4 linked regions of the Coturnix japonica genome follow. The protein of the gene in region 2 purifies or fractionates together with the protein of the main gene of each other region. This does not show direct contact. Links are inferred from orthologs where the notes say so. Each region holds a gene or a part of one and is shown on either strand. Other genes may lie near its edges.

Evidence for each region.
Region 1: the proteins of PARD3 (region 2) and PRKCI purify together in Homo sapiens (affinity purification with western blotting; 5 studies listed by BioGRID and IntAct, with this or other methods). This does not show direct contact. The link is inferred for Coturnix japonica from reciprocal best matches to the Homo sapiens genes PARD3 and PRKCI.
Region 3: the proteins of PARD3 (region 2) and PARD6B purify together in Homo sapiens (affinity purification with mass spectrometry; 5 studies listed by BioGRID and IntAct, counting the BioPlex papers as one, with this or other methods). This does not show direct contact. The link is inferred for Coturnix japonica from reciprocal best matches to the Homo sapiens genes PARD3 and PARD6B.
Region 4: the proteins of PARD3 (region 2) and RASSF8 purify together in Homo sapiens (affinity purification with mass spectrometry; 4 studies listed by BioGRID and IntAct, counting the BioPlex papers as one, with this or other methods). This does not show direct contact. The link is inferred for Coturnix japonica from reciprocal best matches to the Homo sapiens genes PARD3 and RASSF8.

The regions. Positions count from the first base shown.
Region 1 is NC_029524.1:17,533,988-17,537,551, forward strand, and holds part of PRKCI (protein kinase C iota type), read right to left. Parts: intron 3,505-3,564; coding exon 3,454-3,504; intron 2,325-3,453; coding exon 2,239-2,324; intron 956-2,238; coding exon 815-955; intron 1-814.
Region 2 is NC_029517.1:12,118,084-12,121,647, reverse strand, and holds part of PARD3 (partitioning defective 3 homolog), read right to left. Parts: intron 2,764-3,564; coding exon 2,536-2,763; intron 1-2,535. UniProt on the Homo sapiens protein: Adapter protein involved in asymmetrical cell division and cell polarization processes. Seems to play a central role in the formation of epithelial tight junctions. Targets the phosphatase PTEN to cell junctions.
Region 3 is NC_029535.1:12,092,229-12,096,383, reverse strand, and holds the start of PARD6B (partitioning defective 6 homolog beta), read left to right. Parts: upstream 1-1,322; 5' UTR 1,323-1,476; coding exon 1,477-1,542; intron 1,543-1,638; exon of another isoform or gene 1,639-1,699; intron 1,700-4,155. UniProt on the Homo sapiens protein: Adapter protein involved in asymmetrical cell division and cell polarization processes. Probably involved in formation of epithelial tight junctions.
Region 4 is NC_029516.1:62,026,791-62,030,929, reverse strand, and holds the start of RASSF8 (ras association domain-containing protein 8), read right to left. Parts: upstream 2,865-4,139; 5' UTR 2,616-2,864; intron 1-2,615.

The sequences.
Region 1 (3,564 bases), on a different chromosome or scaffold from region 2:
CAACATTTGTTTAACAGATTGTGAAAAGCATTTGAGAGACAATAAAGAATCTCTGAGAAATATAATCTGTTTTAGATGAATCCACATAACTACTGCTCTAGTCCATACAGTATAAAAAGAATCACCATAGACCTTATTTTTCCTGCTTTCCAGAAGTTATGGCAAGTTGCTAGAAGCTATTGAAGAAAACTTCATACAGCAAGGAGAAGGTAGTAGATTAGATGCAAAATGAGACAGAAAATTGCACATACTTCAGCAGCTTTATTATCCAAATAAATTTATGAAATAAAGACTTCCAGCTGTCCATTTTTAAACATTAAACTGCAAGTGGTATTTACATATTGCTTTTTGGGGACTTGAGAACTAAAGATGATTGCATCACTTAGGAGGAGGTCAGAACTATTGTGCCTTGCCTTCCTTTTCTATCAAACAAAATAGTCTAATAATCTAACAGATGTTTAGAGAATTTACTTGTATGTCACTCTGAATATGTGAAATGTAATATATGTACACGTTCATATAAACACTATGTAACTACATGTCATATTTACCTTGCTTTTCACCATCTGACACAGAAATAGACAATCTATACAAGAATTAAGACCTTCTTGTTACTGAAATGCTATTTTGCTAAGCATCTCTTCTATTTTCTTGTCATGTAATGCAGTAGCCATAAAGAATGACAGCCTTTTTAAGCTTTATCTACTGTGATTGTTTGCTGAGCATAGTCTGAAAGCCATTTAGTATGAAACAAGCTCCTTTATTTCATTTATTGTTGCTTTTTAAGACAACATTTCAGATAAACCGTACTTACTGGTTGTAGTGTATGACGACCACAGTCAGTATTGACTAGTTTGTGACACTTCTTGTGAACAAGGAGTTTGCAGTTGATGCATTTATACCCCTGGCGACCCAGGCCCCATATTCGGTCTGAGCAGATGGCACAGTGAGCTCTCTAGAAGAATAAATCAATAAAACTGATTAAAAGCAAAGCTAAATAACAGAAACTATTCAGCCACGTTCCCATTACTGAAGAACAGAGGATAGGAGATCAGAAAAACCCCTACTCAAGTTGCTACTGTACCTGAAAAGCCTATGACAGAACTTTAAGATAGAACAAGCAGATACAACACAGAAAAGCCCAAGAATTACAAATGAACAATAAGCAGCGACTGCTTATCAGAAAGAGCACATTTACATGGGAAGGTGCAGGCACAGTCAGCCTCTTCTGCTGCACGTGGACCCAGAGAGATGGGTGTCAACTGCAGGTCAAAAGCAGTGCAGATGAATAAGCAGGCTCCTGTGACCAAGCTAGTTTGCTAGGTCTCATTATCTTTATGTAGGGGAGTCCTTAGATTTGAAGAGAGAACAGCAGGAAAGCAAAAGCTTCAACATAGATAAACCACCAGCTAAGAGGAAATGGGAAGATCACCACCCACTGAAGGACACTCATAACTCAAAAGAACCATGAATGCAGGGCACCAACAAAAGCAAGTGGGATGGTGCCTTCAGCCTTTGACCGGGAAGAGGTCAATGAATATTTCCTAGAGCATTGCTTATGTAAAAAATATTAAATGAATAATGCTGAAGACGAAGTTTAGTGGAGATCATTTTGAGAGTTACTTAAGCACGTGATTCACAGCTTAGAGAAAAAGGAAAGAATACTGAAGCTGTCAAGGAACCTTGCTTATTCAATTCTTATTTTATCTAATTTTTCAGATACAAGCCGCAGATAGCTCTCTTGATTCTCAATCGTCTTTGGCTATTGCTTATTGAAAGTATTAAAACTGGCCAGTTATTTTCAATTGTTTCTACGCCATCATAAGCAGATGCTAGAGAAACATCTCAGGTTTTGTTTAAGTCGTGAAGGAAAACTGTGCATCATAAGCAACTCGACGTATGCTTAAACAACTGCAAATGCACTTTCAGTTCAATCATCTAATGCCAGTGTTAAAGTCTGCCCTCCCCGGAGATTTTAAGGGAGCACCAGAACACTTCCGTGACAGCATAGTTACAGAGTACACTGTAAAGTGAATTGCAACTATTTATGTTTTTATGAGCCTAATTTTATATGGATAAAGTTTCCTGAAACTACAGTTACCAGCATCTAAGAACTACAGGCAGTCAACAGCAATTAGAATAAATCTACCTTTTTATTTTTTTCAAGGCAGTAACATTAAAATTATAAAAGTAAGACAACCCTGGAACATGGTTTTAAGTACCCAACAAGAGTCTCACCCTGTTAAATCGTTTGGCTTGGAAAGTGTGACCATTTGCACAATAGAGCTTTCGCCACCGGCGGGCGCCACGGCGATAAATGGATTCTAAGAGGAAAAACATACAATTATATCCATAAAAGATATAAATACAGAACTACAGTACTTTCTTACTGGTGCTTCTGTGTACAGTGATTTGCAGAGTAAAGTTTCATTCCTGCAGCCTTATAGAAACACAAAGTATTTTCTTCATTTTTCCAATTTTGGAGAAAACATCAAGCAAAATACTCTGACCATCTGAAAGTTAATTCTGCCTTTCCAAAGTTAAAAGGCGGAGTGAGTCAAAAGGAGGAAAACTGTCCAAACAACACAAGCACTTGTTTGCAAAACATGCACATACCTTACTTAATTCAAGGAGGAGCTGTGGGAGGGAGGGAAGAAGGTCCATTTCAGGAGCATGTCCTGTTATGGCTGCATGCACAAACCCTCCAGTATCTTAGGTCCACAGCTGCCACCATTTTCTGACTGTTTGTTTGTCTCATTACAGGCATTTCAGGACCCAAAACTGAAAACTAGAATATGCAAAACTACCTCAAGTTGCAAAGCTATTTCAGATGTAGCCTAGAACCTTTCTTTCTCCCCTTCAGAAAGGCAGCATTAATCCTACTGCCATAGTTAACATTTAAGCATGCACACTGACATTTGTCAAGAACTTGGATATCAAGCTGACAGACGTGTGCATGCATAGCATACCCATCATCTTTTATAAGATGAATAACAACAGCATAGAAGCCTACATTAAACATATGGAAAATCACCTCTCATGGTTAGTACATTTACCAGCATGACAAAGGTGTTCACAAAATATTCCTGATTTTACCCAAAGGTTGGTCTGAAATTGATTATTTGACACCTCATTACAAGTGGTTACAAGTCTTTGTTCACATCAGTCAGCGAGCAATCTGGCAACTACTAGAGACAGGAACAGAATGGAAAACTGCCATGGAAGAGGCAAAAGCAAGGAAAGCAGAGACACGTGGAGAGTTAACAGAAATACAAAAATGCTTTATTAACAATGACTCAGAAATGACAAACAACATTCCTTTTTAATATTTAAGCTGTAGAGATTCGTGTTATTAATAGTCATAAGCACAGGAAATCAAACAATAGAGTATCAACTTTTTCTAGAATACACATTACTTATTTTAAGTATGCCCAAATGAAGATGCCTACTTACTGTCTTCTCCTGGGCAAGGCATGCCAGGCCGTTCCGGTACACAAGGGAACACTGCAAGAAAAATATCAGCTTCTTATTAATCTGTTTCATACAGAAGACAATTCTTTGGGT
Region 2 (3,564 bases):
TTTTTCTTTGCAAAGACAGTAAGTTAATTTAGAAGAGCCGGCCCCTCTGCCACACATACTACCTATGTTTTATGGCTTTCTTATTTGGGGTAATGACATGTTACGAATTCCTCTATAAAATATATTGCAGCGCAGAGTCTGGAAAAGAAAAGCACTCTCAGCACAGAAACATTTGGAGAAGAAAGGGAAAACATATCAAGAAAGACAAATGATTCCAACCTCAAGGGTATCAGCAAATTGACCACCAACTTGTTTGCTTGAATTTTATAATACAAGAAAGCCACATTTTAATTTCAAACAATTATGAAATAATTAAATACAATTAAAAGAGAATTATGCCATGTCATTATGGCAGCAGCGAGCCATTAGGCCAGTACCAGATTGTTAAATAAACTTCCACGTATTCAAAGGCACACAGACTTTTTCCAGCTGCAGACATCACTTGGCAAATTCTCTGGAATTTACAAAAAATTTACACGAAGTTGGGAAGACTGCAGTTGTTTTTTGTTTTGTTTTGTTTTGTTTTGTTTTGTTTTGTTTTACAGATACACACATGTTTCTAGAAAGACAGACCTCAGGATTTAGCATTCTGAGCTGATCCCATGCCCCATATGTCTGGATTAGCTATTAAGCTCTCTTGGCCACCATAAGAAGGGGAAGACCAAAAGGGTCTTCAACAATGTTCACTGAACTGAATTCTGTTCAATGAACTTACTACAGCTGCTTTACTACGCATCTCTTTCTATTACAATTGCAGTGACTTGCAGTGTAACTTTCGGTATTACTTTGTAGATGCTTTACTGTAATACATGGAAGCTATTTGGCCCCACAGCTTCAACAGAACCTGCAGTTCCATGGATATATCTTGGTCATACTTCCTGAAGGCCTACCTTAGCAGGTAAGATTTAAAAACAATCTTGCTCTTGATCTCCTATGACAGTGAGATGGCTCCTGGTCCATCAGTGCTAGACTTCATCCATACAAAGATGAGGATGAAGACTCACCACACAGCATTTCACTTATAGACTGAATTTTTTTCTGGTTTCCATAACTTCCAGGCAAAGAATACAAAGACTACCAAATATTTTCTTTCTGCTTTCTATGTGTTGCATCAATAAACTCAAAACATCTTATGTGAGCCTATATTCACATAGAATACACTTTTTCAAAACAGTTTTGCTGTAATTTTTGTGAAACAAAGTTAAATCATCTGTAACTTCTGGGTAAGCCCTGTATATCTCATACCTCAAAACAAGTTATCTCCATCAGTTGGCTCACACCATATAAGGGTTTTTAGGAAAATGGGACCATACATTCCAGAAGACCATACACACACAGTCTGGGAGGATGACCAGGACCATTACACTTCTTCTCATTCCTGTTCTCTTGCTGGTCAAAAACAGAATGACAGCCAGCAGCACCAGACCAGCTTTTAGCCTCATTGCTTCATGAAATTGCTAGGTATGGTAAAAGCGAAGCAGAATTAATTCTGCCTGTAACTATATTTGAGAAAAGTGACTGGCAGAATGACCGCCCTTTCAGTCTCAGAACACTTTTAGTAACAGATTAAAAGAAAAACAACCAAAGCGCGTTCAAAAATATAAAAGGAGTAAGCTTGCAATGGAATATTACGGATTGGCACTTCAGAAACTAACATTTTAAAACTAGCAGAGAGTGGAAAGTTTTTTTCAAGGCTTTTCTGCAAGTATTCAAGCTAAATATTTTACCATTTCAGCTTTCCAAGCGTCTTCTCCATTCATAAACTTTTAACTAGCTACAGGTCGATTAAAAAAAATTCTGCGGGTGTGTGTGACAAGTTGAAACTAATACAACATGAAGGTTAAAAATTCCATAATTTTAATACAACCTCTGATTGAGATAATTTACCATTCACACTATTTTTATTCAATATAAGTTGTCATTTTCCCGGCCCATTCTTACACAGTTCAATAATGATAAGGTTAGCTTTGAAGTGATTCTTTTATGTTAATGACATTCTCCACATGTTGGGTCATACTTCGGGTTAAAGAACTGAAAATGTAAATGAATGCCCATTAGGGTGGGTAATAGCTGATCATTAACTTTATATTTTATTAGATCTGCCAGCCTTACTCATTCTAATTAAAGGACAGTGATTTCTTTTTTTTCCCCAGACACTACAAATGTACCCTTTCAAAGTTAGATGCACATATTTTTGTAACATTAATTCAGTGGGGTTTTTTTAGTTTCTGTGCAATTTTTTTTTTCTAATTTACATCAGTAAATTAATTAGCTGCCTTACAGAAAATTTTCATAATAATTTAAGTAAACACACTCCTAATAATCTTATTTCCTTATTTTAGGAAGGAAGGAAGCTGCAGAGTGTTGCAATCTGCTTAATGCATATGAAGGGCAAAAGCCTGAAACAAATCCAGGAAGAGATACTAGTTCTATTCTTTTAAAATCTTAAAATTATCTTCTATCACTTCTAATTACCTTCTAAAGGAATTGACTGATACTGCTAACATTCATTATGTACAACAATAGCCTACTTACAAGTTTCCATGCCTTCGTCATCATCATCTGCTACAGGTTTATCATAAGATTTGTCTATGGCAGCTCTGAAGCTTTCATTGCAGCCTCGTCCTCGGATAATTCGTGGGCGGGGGCGGTGGAAAGGAATATCACCATTGAGAGTCACCTCAGCAACGGCTGTCTGCAGACTTTCTAATGAGCTGGATTTCTTCAGACCTAATGAAGGCCCTACATCTCTGGTCGGGGAACCTTAGTGATTTAGGGAAGAAAAAAAAAGTAATTAGAATTAGTGTAGAGAACTGCATGCTTGATTATGCATATCCATCGTGAAAGTCTTTGGGGACACACTTAACATTATTCACATCATCTCTCAATAATCTGCATGGAATTCTCAGCAGATTTGTTGGTCTCAGAAGTGAATGAGTATGTCAAGTTACAGTCAATGAAACCGACAACGTTAGCAAGGTCTGGCTTTTCAAATCAGTGAAAAGATACCAACACCCATCGCTATTATTTCAACAATCTGAATGATAAAAGTAAGCTCAGGGCTTTAAACGCATCTCAAAAAAACAGCAGAGATACAAATCTTACAGTATCAAACAAACTTAATAAGTTTTTCTTTAGAGCAGAAAATTTCATTTCTAATAGCAACTGATAAACAGAGAGCATATTCTGGTAATGAATCCTATCGTGTTTAGAGTGACCTTCTGGTAAAGTACTACGACTTCTAGCTTCAAGGAATATGCTTAGTTTAAACTGACTTTTAAAGGCTTGCATCAAAATGCTAACACTTCCATAACTAAATATTTCTGAGAAATATCACTTGGTTTGGTGGGATTTTGTGAATTTGTTTATAAAAATCTATGGCAAAGCCCCAGTTAATCCAGCAGTACCACAGCACTACACTTCTAGGCTCTGTTTTTGGATACACAGTTTTAGTGAAAATCAGCTGACAGTTGCACAATTCGATGTCATAGTTAAAACTGGGAGAGATCTATCAGAAAAAAGAATTCACTGAACTTTGAATCATATTCTTAAAAGGTTCAGAAT
Region 3 (4,155 bases), on a different chromosome or scaffold from region 2:
GGATTACAAAACCCAACCTGTCTTTCAACTTCACAGAAGCTGAAACTGGTTGTGCCATGAATAGTCATGATCAAGTCACAGGTTTGTAGACTCTGTGACTAAAATAGCTCTTCAAACTTGTGCTGCTCCCGGCCTCTCACTGTATCTTGATCTGAAATCAAGCTGTTTATTGCATTCCTTCCTCATACGTCAGCTCCCAGTGATGAGAGCATGCCAGTGATTAATACTCTTTATTAGGTCAGTTCCAGAGACTTGAAATGAATTTGCCCTGAGTCCTGAAGCACGTTACCACACCCACAGTGTGGAACTCCAGCCATCCTAGGAATGCAAGATAGAAAAAAATCCTTATCTGAGGTGAGACTCCAGAAATGTTCCACAGTAAAATCGGCTGCAGGCACAGATCAGCTCCAGGAAGTTCTTCCAAGGAAAACGGCAACTGACTGCTTTAAAAACCTGGCAGAGGTTTGCAAGGGGCTCTTGACTTCAATAAGCCGACTCACACGCTTTCTTCCTCCCTCTACATACTAAACTCTGTAAATGAAAAATCCTTTTTCTTCAGATTTTAGGCATGACACGGTCCCCATGTTAAGGTCTGCCGGTACCTCCCCAAGGTCACTATGTGGACGGTTACACAATAATGGTTGTTCTATCGCAGTGTAACACACACAAACGACGTCACAGAAAACCCTTCAGGCGTGTCACCAGGTTACGGACGGGGCTTAAAACAGAAAAGTCCAACAACTGCACGGCCAGGACAGGCCTAAAGAGCATGAGAGGGACAGGGAGGGAGCACGGCCTGGGCTGGGGCAGTCACACCCAGCAGGATGCAGTCAGTCATGTTTCAATGTCTCACACACATCCCGCTCCGTACAGTCTCACACATTCGGATCCAGTCATGTTTCTCTCACACCCCGCACACTCGCGGCCTTTCCTTCCCTTCCCTTTCCCGGCGCTGTCCCACTCCTCCCTCACAGATCAGCGCATCGTGCTGCCGGGCCGCGTTCCCTCGCACAGCCCCATGTTTGCACACCAGACCCGCCCGCTGCCGAGCAAAGGTCCCGCGGCTCGTCCCACCCCCGCCCCTACACAGAATCACTCCGTACTTCCTCATCTCCGTGCGGTTCCTCCCCCTCCATCTTGTAGCTCCGCCTCAACCCGGCAGGTGCTCGGTGCCGCCGTCCCGCGCTCAGCGCGCACGGCTCAGTGCGCATGCTCGCGAGCGGCAGGTGCGCGGCCCCGCCCGTGTGCGCATGCGCGGTGCGGCGCTGCCCCGTCCCGCGGTGTGAGGGCGGCAGGTGCCAGGAGCCGCCGGCCCCGCCCGGTGCCGCTGTGTCAGGGCGGCGCCGCGGTGCCAGGAGCGGCTGGAGGCGTGAGGGGCGGGGGGATCCGGGGGGATCCGGGCCGTGAGCGTCCCGCTCTGCCACCCGTGGGCGCCCGGGGCCGAGAGAAAAGAGCAGACGCCGAGCAGCCGGCGGAATGAGTCGGCCTCACCGCGGGCCTGCGGGCAGCCGGGGCCTCGGCACCATGGAGGTGAAGAGCAAGGTAAGCGAGCGGGGAGCGGGCGGCCCGGCCGGAACCGCGGGGAGCCCGGCGGGTCGGGGCTGAATCACGGACTCACTGAGTCACTGAGTCACTCACCTGCGGCAGCGCGGCCTGGGGCGGGAACCGCGCGGCGGGACTGAGCGAGCGACGGGACGGAGGAACCGGGCCCGGTGTGCGCAGCGAGCGGCGGGACGGAGCGGGGCGGGGGTGGGAGCTCGGGGGGGATCGAGGCTAAAGGCGTTCCAGGGTCGGGTCGGGGGTTGTGACGGACGCCGGGCCGTGATCGCTGCCCATCACACCGGGCTGCTCTGCGGGCAGAGTCTGCATGAGAACTTAGTGCCGGCCGAGCTCTCACGAGGCTGTATGTGTATGTGTGTATGTATGTGTATGTATGTACACGCTGTGGCTCCTCCAGCAGCCCTGCTGTCAGATCTCCGCAGGCTCCATGTGTCTATTGGCATTTCTGCATCATTTCTGCATCCATTGCCGTTGGTTTTTTCTCCTGGTTCCCGTAGTTTTGCTGGCAGATGTTCAGTGTTCTGAAACAGATCTTGGGGTTTTTTTTGGCTTACCGTGATCATATTTTGGTACTTTGTCCTTTTGCAGTTAATTACATTTACAACTGTAAATCTTAATATGCGTTAGATGTGAAATCTTAACTGGTGTGAAGCTGCTAAAGAAATGCGTTGTTGTGAAATCCTTTCCATCATCACACCAAACTACACGGCCCTGTGGGGATGTTTTCTTTCATTGGTTTAAAAGAAAAAAAGTCCTTTTGTGCCTCTTTATTTCTAAGCCGCTCGGGTCTGTTTGCTGTTCGTACTCTGCTCCTTCCTGCAATCCAAGCATCCCTTTGCAGTGTAGGAGAGGCAGCCGGGAGCTGGGGATCTTTTTCTTGTCTGTTTTTTAAACACTAGTGTGACAAGTGCTTGTACATGAAAAGCAGTGCTGCGCTTTTGGGACTAGCATGGATGATAATTACTGCTCGTTTTTAACTTAACTGTGATATGGGTGAAGTCACAATGCCAAGGAATACTTGGCTGCCATGATCCCAAATGCTGGTTAAGCACAGCTGTGACTGTGTCAGTGGAGCGTGTTGTTTGTTGTTTTAATCTATGTGCTTGTAGGATTGAAAGCAATCAGAATAACGTGTTTATAAGCAATACTTCTTGCCACAGCTCAAGCCTCCCCTGTAGTGTGCATTGCCTGATTACAAGTATGTCTAGGGATCAGCTGCGTGGTGCCTCCTTTGGCATTCTGCAGAGCAGGTCTAATGAGTTGGGGCTGTCTCTTAGTGTACTATGAAGAATGTATCGAGGCGTTCTCTGAACTACTTGTTGCTAATACATTACTTTCAAGTATCTAGATTTAATGTATCAGAGGAGTCATCTTCCTTCCGTGAAGAAGCTCCAAAAAAGAAAGAAAAGCTGTGTGGGAGGTGGAGGGGAGCATTCCTGTGCAGTGCTGTAAGATTTGAAGGCTTGCCATCAGTGTCCAACGCTGTGTTCAGGTAGTCCAACTCAGTAATCATGCACCGACTGACAAACCCATGCCTGCAAAGCCCATTGTGAGTGGGAATAGTGTTTTCCGATTCTTTGTTTTGTATGGAATGAAATCTAATATACCGATAAGCTCCAGCAAATGTATCTGTCTTATGTTCTGTTATTATTGCTTAAGACTGGTAGTGTAGCAGCGGCATGCAGCATTAGACAGGACATAAAGATGCTTCTCATAAGCGAGTCTTACTCACGTGGGTATCTCAGGTGAATTCCTGGTACATTGCCATAGCTTGTGCTGTGTTTTTCCAGCTGATTCTTCTGATTTTACGTTTCTGTGCTTCATTAAAGTTGCAAATTTTTGTTAGTGCAGAGTGGAATGTGGTGCAACGTTTGATATCAAATGGAAACATTGCATGAGATTAATATAGACAATTATTACATGAGATTAATATGGACAGGGAATTAGTTTAGCTTTTCTACTTTATCAGCTTCGTAGTACTGAGCATGTGGCAAGTTTTGTTAGAGCATAACGTCTGTGGAAATGGTGGGGGGAAAAATTAACTTCACATGCTTGGAAATGTGACCGTTCATATCCTTGCTGCAATCACACCATGTTTGCTTCAAGTTGAGAGTAAGATTGTTGGTGGCGTTCTTTTAAATTCCAGTGTTACTTAACCGTTCAAACTATGTTGTCTTTCAAAACCAAACAACTGCAGATTGATACAATGCTTGGAGAGTTTCCATAGCGCTCATACTTGAAATAGCTGCAGCAGGGTTCAGCAGGAACTCGGTCACGTTCCATCACTGACATCACACTTCAGCTGCCTCTGACGTGGAGGAAGCTCCTCCTGCAGGCTGTTGTTTGCTTTGTGTGAGTCATCTCTTCTGACTTAAAGTGACTGAAATAGGAATATTTCTAGAGTGCCCCCAGAGAATTCCATTATTTGAGAACTTTGAAGATGAGGTGTTAATAGTGTGTAGGCTGTTCTGCTGTGCCTGTTTGAGTCTGGGCGGTGTTAATGTGCTAACAATAGGGTCCTTGTCTCCTTATTTTCGTGCCTTGGTATGTGAGAATTCTAAGGCCTCTATTCTCTAGAGCTGTTTTAATCAGTGG
Region 4 (4,139 bases), on a different chromosome or scaffold from region 2:
TTGAAGGATAGAAAGCAATCATTTGCAAAACTGAATTTGAAGACAGACTGCCTGCCTAGATGGTGACAGAAAGGGGCTCATAGAGGCAGAGGCAAGAAGACAGAAACTTGTACCTACAGCTGCATAACAGCAAGTTTCTACTGAGAAGTCTCTCATTCACAGCAGAGAAACACTTCCAGCAGGATCGAGCCCGTTGTTTACAAAGGCTACAAACCTCAAACAGCACAGGAAGGCGAGCACTGAGATCATAGTATGTCAGTGTTAGGCTGTATGGTCCTGGCTTGAGAGTTGTAAAATCCAACATTTCAAGAAAGCCCCAGAAAACCACACAGCATTTACATTTAATTTCAAGATAGAGATCTTAAAGACTTAAGAATCTCGGCAAAGACCTAAAATTAGAAAGCAAACAAAAAACCCACGTACTAAGCCAATCTCTTAATTACAGAGCTCAAGAAACAGCCAAGAGCTGCACACATCCCACTGAGGGGGGTCCCCGGCCCATTCTCCAACCTGCAATTAAAGCTCATAGGGTTTCTTTTTGGAGACCCTGAGCAGTAATGAGCAAATTCACACACCAACAAGGTATCAGAGATGAAGCATGCAACATTCTCCAAGTATACAAGTGATAAATAGAACTTGAGGCTCCAAACTGTGACAGCAATGCAAAAATCTGGTGCACTGTCATTCAAAATAAACACCAATCAAGAGTTCTGCTTTACAGCTTCCTAAGAACAAATATTAGCACAAGAATAACTGCCACCTGACCAGCATTCCAAATCACAACCAAACACAGCAATGCATATGGATAAAATTATCCCTAAAAATCACGTGTAAGAGTACTACAGTTATTCTGAAAGCCTCCACGTCCTATAAGGCACAGCTAAGACACGACAGCTTCAGTAAAGGTCACACTGCCATTCCATGGCAAAGGCAGGAACAGGACCCATGGTCCTTGGCTCTCAGCACAGCTTTATAAGATTCCGACTTCTTGCTAACCATATTTGGTTAATTTATCCCCATCTATTTCCCCCCGATTACAAAGTTTCTCATCTCCAGGAAAGAGCAAGAAAAAAAAAAAAAGCAAATCACACAACTGCGGTCAGGTCCCGTTAGGCTTGTGGGGGTGGGAAGGACAGAAGTTACACGGGTGTAAAAAGCAAATCTGAACCTCAGTGCCGTTGTAAAGGGCGCACAGCTGAACAGCGCAGTGACAAGCAGTCATTTCCGCTAACCCAGAGCCAAAAAGTCATCGGATACACAAGGAATCGCCAACATAAAAATAAATGCTTCCGGTTCAATCCCCAGCCTATTTTATTATCAGCTATAATTAAACAAAGTTCGGAAAGAAACTGTAGTTTCTCCTTTCTTTAAAGGAAGAGAGACAAATAGGGTTTCATCTGCACTTGAACCAGGTGACCCTGTGGCCTTAAGGAAGAGAATAAAGAGGTAATAACACAGCCATGAGCCACAGTGCTCCATTTGGACCTAAGGAGCTGACCTCACCTTCCCAAAACTACACATTGTCTACAGAACCAACAAGTCAGGCTTCACTTCCACAGCACCTAACACACCCGCACCACCACCCAGCCCACTACTTGTGAGCACCCAACCCCTGCAAGCAGGTGTCTTGGGAAGCACAGCCTTCCCAAGGCACGCTACAGCACCAACAGGGCACCACACAGTCCAACTAAGGTGTTAATCTGTCAAGCTCTGACACATCCACAGTTTCTGGAAGCGAGGGGTGACAGGTGTCATTCCAGAGGGGCTGTTGGAACCCATTGCATTCCCTCTGCTCTCATCTCCTGCACCAACGAAGCCCACCAGCCGCGTTGAGCTGAGTGAGCCCAATGCGCTGCTGCCATAAGGATTGCAGCCCCTCGCTGAGCAGGGACAGGCCACCCCAGCCCAGCCATGTCCTGGATGACCACAGCCACGCTTCAGGGCTGCGCAGACCACGAAGCTGGATCCATCTTCCGCCCTGCAAAGTTCTGTCTCCCATTGCACCGCTCCTGCCCCAGCTTTTCTCAGCGTCCCCCCGGTTCTCACCCCCCACCAACAGAACGGAACCTCACACGCTCCCGCTGGCGCAGCAGCTTTTCTTTTTAATCTTTTGCTCACTGTGGGGAGTGAAAGAAAGGAGGAGAGGTCGGGACGGGAATAAGTGATTAATCACGAAACGAGTCGTCACCGCCTGGAAAGGAAGGGAGGAAGAGATCGAAACCGAACGGTCCACGTCGCAAAGATGCAGAGAGGAAAAGTGAGACCCTCCCGCTGGGCACAGCACGGGAAAGGACGAGAGAAATAGGGGTGCGAGGAAAGTCGGTGCTCGAGTCTCTTCCCAAGGACGCACAAAACAGCCCGTACCTCTCAACGCGGCGCTCGAAGGAAAGCAAAGCGCCAGCAAAGGGCAGGGAACGGACGAGGAGAGAAGGAAAGAACCGAGAGACGGAGGGAGCGTGACGGGAAGGAGGCACGGCACAGTGCGAAGAGCAACCGAAGCGGAGGAAAAGCGAGGGGAGCGAGCGACGACAGCGGGAAAGTTGGCGGCAGAGGGGCGGACAGGGCGGCGGGCTGGGGACCGAGGAGAGCCCGAGGAGCGGCACGACCACACTTACCGCTCCGGCTGCGGGCACACCAACGGCTCCGGCGGCCGCCTGCTCCGCCTCACTCCCGTGCCCCGCGGGGGGCGCAGAGCCCGAGGGCTGGGCTGGGCTCCACTTGGCTCCGCTCCTCCCCCGGGCCCGCCGAGCGCGTAGGTGGGCGCGGGGCTGTCCCCCGCCTCCTTCCTGCCTCTGCCTCGCTCCCCTTCACCGGGAGAGACATGTAACGGAACTGGGACGCCAGCACGGCATTGTGGGAGCTCTTAAAGCCGCAGCCGCCCGCTGCCCCCCGCCGCCGACGCTCCCGGCCCGGGGGCGGGCAGGCACCGCAGCCTGGTAAGGAGAGAGGCGCTGCAGCCCCGCCGAACGGCACGGCCCGGCAGCACAGCACAGCACAGCACAGCACAGCACAGCACAGCACAGCACAGCACAGCACAGCACACCACAGCACACCACACCGCAGCACACCACACCACACCACAGCACAGCACAGCACAGCACCGGCAGCCTTCTGAATCCAGACCTACTCCTTCTCTCTCCCTCTTATTTTTCTTTAATCGCCGAGATTTTCCTATTGTTTCTGGATGGAACAGGAATGCCTTTGTTGCTTGTTTTTAACTGAAAGCCGGCTGGCAGTGTTTGCTATTGTTTCTGCCTTGTGCTTTTGATGATGGAAAATTCCCCGGAAAAATAATAATAATAATAAAAAAATAAAATAACAACCCAGAGCAGCGAAGAGTCTTATGCAGGAGGCTGTTTTTGGCACCAGGAACTTTTAATCAGTTGTGTGTTTGTACAGCTTGGAATCGGAAGATGACTGTTTCTAAGACAAAAAGGAAACAAAATGATTCACAAGCATTTTCTGCTGTCTGCATGCGCTTGTACAGGGCCTGGCGGTGTCTCCCCAGCAGCAGTACTGCCCAACTTTGGCCTTTGCCCTATCACCCCTATGGCACATCAGGCTGATGGTTTGCAATGGAATCTCTTGGAACTCTCAGCTGTTTTGACTACCACTATCTTAGTGATGGTTGTCCACACGTGGATCTTGGGTTATGATCACAACTTTATACAGCTGAGCATATTTGTTGTAAGTGTGCCTGGCAAGACAAAAAGTTCCTGCTGAGAAAGTTTTCGGGGCACAGAAGGATGTAACTTATATGCCTGACGTGCCTCTGAGCCTTCTTCTGCTATCTTAGACAGCAGGAGCTGCCAGCTAGTTATTGTAGAAGGCCATAGACACATGTGATGAGTTATAAGTAAGAAGAAATAGCAGAAATAAGGTGAATCAGTCCAGGCACTGGTGGTCTGCATGGTCAGCTGTGTACACCTTGTAACATAGAATGTCCCAAGTGTGAAGGGACCCACAAAGGTCACTGAGTCCAACTCTTCACTTGACACAGGACCATGCAAACATTAAACCCTGTGGCTGAAAGTGGTGTCCAAACACACCTTGAACTCCAGCACTTGTGGCCGTGCCCACTGCCTTGTGCAGCCCATTCCATGCCCACCGCCCTGTGGTGCAGACCCTGTCCCTCACCC